2 linked regions of the Canis lupus familiaris genome follow. The protein of the gene in region 2 interacts with the protein of the main gene of each other region in a pairwise test. Links are inferred from orthologs where the notes say so. Each region holds a gene or a part of one and is shown on either strand. Other genes may lie near its edges. The genes, in order: BRK1 and MRFAP1.

Region 1 (3,823 bases), on a different chromosome or scaffold from region 2:
GAGACCCAGGATTGAGTCCCATGTCAGGCCCTGCATGGAGCCTGCTTCTCTCCCTTTGCCTGTGTCTCTCTGTCTCTCATGAATAAATAAATAAAATCTAAAAAAAGAAAAAAAAAAAAAAAAAAAAAGAAAAAGACTCCCTCTACTCCACCCTCACTCAAGCTCGCTCTCTCTCTAAAATAAATAAATCCTTAAAAAAAAAGGTTCATTAATACAACTCAGTGCTCAGAAATGAAGTTATTACATTACCCAGATCCAAATTTGGGGGACTTGTGCTAGATCATTTTTAAATTTTGAAAAACAGCCCCAGCTTAATTTACTTTTTAAAAAATTTATTCATTTATGAGAAAGAGAGAGAGAGAGAGAGAGAGAAAGAAAAGGCATGTGCCTGAGTGGGTGGGGTAGAGGGAAAGGGAGAGGGAGAGAAATCTTAAGCAGACTGTGCACTGAGCAGGGACTCCAAATTGGGGCTCCATCTCACGACACTGAGATCACTACCAGAGCTGAAACCGGAAGCTTAACTGACTAACTCACCCAGGCGCCCTATGACTTGTTATTTTAGATGTTTTGATTTAGTTGATGTTCTTAATACTTTGCTTAGATAATCTGTGTGTATAGATCAGATCTTACCAGATAGGTGAAATCTTTTAATTCTGCTTTTTAAGGTTAAAACTCTCCATGTCAGTGATTTTTCCAACTACTTTCCACTGCCTCTCCTAACTAAGCCAAATCTCAAGCCGTGATCTTCTCCTAGAAGATCCTTCTGGAAGGATCCTCCTTCTGGAAGAAGCACCATTCCATCCTTCTACTACCATGAAATATTTTGGTTTCTCTTCCATGGTCCTTTGTCTGAAGAAATGTTATGAGTAAATAATGCTGTGAACAACCTCCAATAATAGTTCAAGCTCTCCAGAAAAAGTAGGAGAAACCAATTATGAAAACTAGTATTGAAAGAGTTTGCATAGAACTTAGGAAAAAAGAAAAAAACTGAGGAAAGAAACCCAGATTATCTGAATAGTAGGGTAAATAGTCTCAGTTCACTCAAATCAATTAATCTAGCCTCTGAACTTGAGTCTATCTCCAAAAATCCATGTATCTTTTTCACTAAACCATACTCCTTTGCTCATAGTCCTTAAAAGATGTCAGGATATACGAGATCTATGTTGACTACCATTCCCTACTACAACCTCTATACCAAATTATGTGTGTGAATATGTATCAATGACATACTTATACTATTCTTTCTTTTTCTTTTAAGATTTCATATATTTATTCATGAGAGAGAGAGAGAGAGAGAGAGAGGCAGAGACACAGGCAGAGGGAGAAGCAGGCTCCATCCTGGATCCCGGGATCACGCCCTGAGCGGAAGGGAGATGCTCAACCGCTGAGCCATCCAGGCGTCTCTATACTATTCTTTCATATGACTCTATACTATTCTTTTCAGTAACTACCCTCAGTCATTCCCTGGTGAGAAAGATCCATCATACTAAGACTCATCAAAATTATAGTCCTACACACTTTATAAGGATATATATTAATACAAAACCGATGTTCTGAAACTGTCATTATTTCATTTGCAAGACAGAAATTCCTTGAAAGCAGGAAATGATTCTTATTCTGTGTCCTCCAGAGTACCTGAGAGCGCTTTCTACCGAGATCTGGTTTCTCTTGCTGATGCTTTCTAAGAAAATTCATGCTCTTTTACCTTACTCCTCAGGATGCATCAGTTCTCCAGCTGGAAAATAATTAATTCATTTAAAATCTTTTTTTTTTTTTAAATACATCGGTTTCCCCTACTTAATCTTCGTTGCTTGTTGCTGAATTAGTGGAACAGAAGCACACTAGTTGGAAAAAGATCACTAGATGTCATCCTTACACCTTGTGATTACTTAAGTCTACGCAGTGCCCAGTTCTGTTAAGGAAACACTTGGAGCACATGAGATGGGAGTCTGTTACAGGTTTGCTGTCCAGAAGGACACGAACAAAACAGAAAGAATCTGTCACAAGCGCGCCATGCCTAGGAAAGATTTTGCTAGAAGCAGAAGCAATACCTACTGCTGGCTAGTGGCAGCAATACAGAGCTCTCCGTGACCTTACATCTGGCCTCATCTCCCACCACTCTCAGCGCAGCAAAACCGGAAGACAGAAGAGGCGACTCAACGGTATGGCGCTCAAGAGATCCTGACAATGATGCGGAAGCCTCAAGAAACTCACACGAGGGCAGCGACACGGCTGTGGCTGCGTTGTGACTGACGCACCCTAAGTGCAAAGCGGGAACTGGAAGGGAAGCGGGTCACAAAGGAAGCAGGGAGGCTACCGAAGACGAGGCTGTGGATGCAGCTGCCTCTATAGAGTCGGGGAGAGGGCAAGGCTTGCTAATGGATCTGCTGGTGACGGCAATGAAGCCGAGGAGCTCAGCCCGGCGCAGGATAACCCTACAGGGACTGCCCGGTGAGGCCTAAGGATCCGGGCGAGAGGGGCAAGGTGGGCTGCAAAGGACGCGGAAACCAGCAAGCGCCCAGGGCTCCCGGGGCAAGCCCCTTCAAGGCTTCTCAGCGCCTTCGCCAAACTGCCCGAGCGGCCTCCTACCCAACCCCCGCGGCCCCCTGCTCGCCCGCTGACCGAAGGAGTTGAGAAAGTCCGCGATCTTCTTGATGCTGCTGGTGATGACCTCAATGTATTCCCGGTTCGCCCAGTCCTGGTGAATCTCCCGCTGCACCGGATCCTCTTGGCCCGCCATGGCTGCCGCCTGAAGAGAGCCACTGCGCAGGCGCCGCGACCCTCCAGGCCGCCAGGGCGCCTGCGCCGCCAGCCCACGCCCATCCCTTGGCACCCACGAATCCACCGGCATTGTGATGCGCCTGCGCGACGTCAAGTCCTCGCGTGCGTTTTCTCTCTGCTCCACGCCCCTGAAAAAAGTCGCCAGAAGGCGGCCGGGGAGGGGGCAGTGCGCACGCGCCGCGCCTCTCCTGCGCACCGCAGACCCGGTCGCCCGCGGTTTGGGTCGTTAGCGGGCGCGGGACCGCGAGACGCTCGCTCGGTCAGTTGCTCCAAACTAAGTTGGCCGTGTGTCGCCGATTAAGACGCATTAAGTACGACTCATTTTAAAAATGGCTTTCAGCAGCACAACATGATTCCCCACCTTGGACCCATCCAATGAACAAAACATTTTTTTTTGTTGTTTAAACAATGGCACCCAGTGATGGAGAGGCCCAGGGGAAATTGATAGGCTCCTAAATAGCTGGTCACACTGTAAACTGGCACAACTCCTGAAGGCAATTTGTAAATTGATAGCAAGAGCTGTCAAAAAAAAAAATTCGGACTTTTTTGACCTAATTATTTCATTGAGAAAAATCATTGAAAAAGAAAAAAAAAAAAAGACTTTAAGCACAAAGGTGCCCTTTGTAACGTTATTTAAAAAAAAAAAAAAACAAAACAAAACAACCAGGGACGCCTGAGTGGCTCAGTGGTTGAGCGTCTGCCTTAGGCTCAGGCCCTGATCCGAGGTGCTGGGATCGAGTCCCACGTCGGGCTCCCTGCATGGAGCCTGCTTCTCCCTCTGCCTGTGTCTCTGCCCCAATCTCTATGTGTGTCTCTCATGAATAAATAAATACAATCTCTAAAAAAAAATAATATAGCCACCTATGGCAATATAATGTATTTAAATAGTAATTCTGGGCACTATGGCAACATACATGATAAATTGAAGAGGAAAATGAAATACAAAATTGTCTTTAATTGCAACTGTATCAAAAATTTGTCTGCTTGAGGACAAGAAGGATACATGAAGATGCCAATGTCTGGTTTGTTAAGGTAGTGGAAT
Region 2 (3,910 bases):
TCTGCTCTGAAGTGCTTCTTAACTCTTCCAGAGACAGGACATGTAGCTTGGGACACATGGTTTCCTACTGTTTTACACTTACTGATTGGGCTTCCTAGGAAGCAGACTTCAAGATGAAAATTACATTAAAAACATTTAACAGTCAGTGCAGGTTGTTTATTAGGGCTTAGGCGCCATGGGAGGCCTGTTAGACTAGGCAGAGAAGCAGCCCTAGAAACAGCCTCAGCAGACCCCACAGGCAGCTCACACAGAGATGCCCTTCAAAGTCTTCCCAGCTTGTAGCAAGAGGCAAAGAGCCCTTAGACCCCTAGTCTATTAGTCCTTGGATATGGGCCACCCAGGAAAGGGGGCATGACCTCAGCTAAGGCTACTCTTAAGCAGAGGCGCTTCTGGAGGGCTGACCAGCTACACACCATCTGTCAGCAACACTTCTAGCAGCTGGGGAGTAAGCGCATCATATCTGAAGGTGCTGGGAGTGGTGTGGTCCACACCCCCCCTTACCATAGCATTCCCTAATGTGAGGGCTAATGTTCCAGTTTTTTAGGTTAGGTGACTGGAAGTACTATGGCCTGTCTGAAGGCAATGGCCCAGACCACAGGATTTCAAGAGGTTCCTTCCTACACTAAAAACTGAGTCTGCCCTTTTTCGATCAACATGTAGATACTAGCATGCAGAAATAAATCTTCCCCGTGACCAGAGGCTGAGAGCGTCAAAAACTAGAAGAAATTCATCCTCCATTTGGTAATGATGACAATCAATGAGAAAGATTTTGAGAGAAATAAAATTTTAGTCAATAACTTTTTAGGTCCTTTGTCTTTTCAAGCAAATGAATACTTTTATTAACATGGTCTTTTTTTTTTTCTTTTTTTTTTTTTTAATTACACATGGTAGGGTTTTGACCTCAAATGCTTTGTCAGGTCTGCTACTCAAATGAACTTATAGCAGGACGACCTATCAACCTCAAAAATACCTAGTCCCTGTCCAGTTTAGGGTCCAATGCAGACAGTCCTCCTTTCTTTTCCCAGCCAGCCCCTCAAGAGCCTTTGCAAATATCTCTTCCATTGTGAATCCCCTGAAATGATCAGAATATCACATCAACTTGTACAAAAACCAAGATCTTGTCTATTCTAGGTTCCATATCAAATAAAACTGAGTTGGGTTGTCCAAATAAACTGACCAGACAGGTTACATCAGATAGTACGCCACATAAAATTTAAATTTTGAACAAAATACATCTTTTCTCCTTTGGTCTCACACAGAAATTAAAGTCCGGAAAATACAGACACTACTATCATCCTCCACACCTCCTTTCGACTCCTCAGTCCTAGCCAGGTCAACCCCATTCACATTCCCAGTTGAAGTCTGGTCCCTTCTTCTTCAGCTTCTTGAGCAGTTGCTGCACGAAGCAATCTTCCAGAAGTAAGCAGCTCCTTCAGCACCTCCAGAGCTGGAAGACTCCAACTCTTGAGTCTCATGTGACACAGACTCAAAGATCCAGGGAGCTATATCAAGTCACACAAGAAAGCACAAAGCACCTCAAAACCTAGAAATCACCAAAGCCCAAGAACAAACATCACTGCTGCAAGAGCTTACAATCTCGGCCCTAATTCTCATGTGAGATCATCTTCCAAATAAAAGTTACTTTTCCAAACAAAAACATTTAACAGTCAAAACTTATTTTGAGGTCACCAACCACAGACCATAGCAAAAAACGTAGTGTAAGTGAGGACAGAGTGTGGGGTGGGGTGGGGGGGGGGGTGGGGGAAGAGAGAGAGAAAACAAAAGGCTCTCTGGTTTCAGCTTCTCAAGGATGTCAGCCAATCTCCCATCAGTTGACCAGAATCCGTTGGCTGTAAACCTAAAGTACAGTTCGGGAGTAGAGGGGAGAAAGCCGTCATTCAAGAGGTTAATTCCGAAAAAGAAAACCAAACGAATCAAAACCCCTCACCAATTCAAACACGCAGGACGCCCCCCGACCCGCTCCGATCTTCCGGCAAACCCCAAAACGGCCCAATAACCGCTCCCCTCGGCTGGTCCTCTCTCTCCTCGCCGTGGCTCGGCGGCCCCGGCGTGACTCTGCCTCCCTCAAGGCCTGCACAGGTGGCTCTGCAGGGCACCGCGGCTCCCGGGTGCAAGCGGACACACTCCGGCCGCCCTGCTCACACGCAGGGTACAACCGGAGCGCGCCGCGGCCTCTGCTCCCCCCGCGCCGGCCTCCCTTCCGCCTTACCGCCCTCCTCCTTCAGGACGACTCGCTTCTCTCTATCCGCCGCACCAGCTCCACCAGCATCTCTGCCATCTTCGCGATCTCCTTGGCCTTCTCGTCCGCCTTCTCGCCCCTCTTGGCCGCTCTGCCGTCCACCGCGTCGCCGGGATTCTGCAGGTGATTCAGGGCGCTCTCCTCCGAGGCCTCCACCTGCGTTTTTATCTGGATGAGCATATTGTCCATCTCCCACAGCTTGCTCCTGTTGCGCATGTAGGCTCGGCCGTGCTCCCGGGTGAGGGCGGCGATGTCCTCCCGCATCTCGTTGATGACCGGCAGCAGGAACTGCTCGAAATCCTCCTCGGGCTCCAGCACTTCCACCTCCTCCGGCTCCGCCAGCTCGACGATGTCCAAGGGCCGCATCCTCTCTGCCTCTCCGGAACCGCGCTTACCGACGTCTGCTGCGGAGAGAAAATGGAGACTCGCTAGGCTTACCGACAGAGTTCCAGAAAATCCTTTAAAACTTTTACCCTTTTTAAACTTTTTTCGCTTCACAGGAGCCGCGGAAACGAACGACTTACGAGGAGAGGAGCCGCGAACAAAATGGAGTCCCAGCCGTCAACCAGCGCCCTGCGCGTTGCGGCCCCTTTCGCGACACGGCCGTGCCTCTTTACGGTCACGCCGCTCGTGGAACGAGGCGCGGGCGCGCGCACGCCGACGGAGGATGGGCGGGGCAACCCCGCCCCGCGGCCGGGAGCGCGCACGTACTGGCGCGCACTGTGCTTGACTTGCGCTTGCCGCTTTCCCCTAGGTCGCGCCCCTGCGCCGCCCTCCTTTTGGGGTGAGCCCTTCTGGGCGCGCCCTCCTCTTGGAGGGCTTCTGGAGCACTCAGTTATATATTTTTTAAGGCTTAACCGCGCCCTTCCTGCAATAAACAAAGATAGAAAGGCTGTGGCATCCCCAGACTAACTCCCATAGCCCCTTGTGTTTTAGTAGGGCGGCCAAACCCCTCTTAGCTGTCAGGAAAGTGCATTTTTCCGTCATCTTCGGCTTACAGTCGGAAATGCCTGCGTGTGTTTTCACCAGGCGGGACCCCCCTCGCTCCAGGGTACCAGGCCCCTACTGGTACCTTCATCCCGAGGCTCCGCCAGACCCAAAGCTCAGGGGGATGTGAGGAGGGTTTTCTTGGCTAGCCTTTGCAGGTGTCACCACCGGTCCAGGGTCCTCTGGGGGTCTGTGTCCCTGAAGCCCTGGGCGCAGCTTGGCACGTGCTAGTAAACTCGCTTTAAGGGGCGCCTGGGTGGCTCAGTGGTTGAGCATCTGCCCTCATCTGGGTGGTGGTCGGGGGGGTCATGGGGTCAAGTCCAGCATTGAGCTCGTCCAAGGGAGCCTGCTTCTCCCTCTGCTTATGTCTCTGCCTCTTTCTCCGTGTCTCTCATGAATAAATAAACAAAATCTTTTTTTAAAAACCATACTAAACAATTTTGAGAAATGATAATTTTCTAGCCTGTGGATGGGGTCATAAAACAGGAGTTAAAACTTGAGGAATCCAGCTTGCACAAGTGCGGAGCCTTTGGCTTTTGTTTTGCACAAATCTTAGTTGTGACTATGGTAAGAGTTAAGGGGGAAAAGAAACAATAGTCATGAAAATGCTTTGTAAATACCAAATATATACACATGTAAGGTCCTTATATTTTAGATATTTGT

The links.
Region 1: the proteins of MRFAP1 (region 2) and BRK1 interact in binary tests that used the Homo sapiens proteins (3 or more experiments, as listed by UniProt). The link is inferred for Canis lupus familiaris from reciprocal best matches to the Homo sapiens genes MRFAP1 and BRK1.

The regions. Positions count from the first base shown.
Region 1 is NC_049241.1:8,298,937-8,302,759, forward strand, and holds the start of BRK1 (protein BRICK1), read right to left. Parts: upstream 2,822-3,823; 5' UTR 2,741-2,821; coding exon 2,623-2,740; intron 1-2,622. UniProt on the Homo sapiens protein: Involved in regulation of actin and microtubule organization. Part of a WAVE complex that activates the Arp2/3 complex. As component of the WAVE1 complex, required for BDNF-NTRK2 endocytic trafficking and signaling from early endosomes.
Region 2 is NC_049224.1:59,279,516-59,283,425, reverse strand, and holds MRFAP1 (MORF4 family-associated protein 1), read right to left. Parts: upstream 2,912-3,910; 5' UTR 2,785-2,911; intron 2,665-2,784; exon of another isoform or gene 2,662-2,664; 5' UTR 2,627-2,661; coding exon 2,243-2,626; 3' UTR 2,231-2,242; intron 1,859-2,230; 3' UTR 805-1,858; downstream 1-804.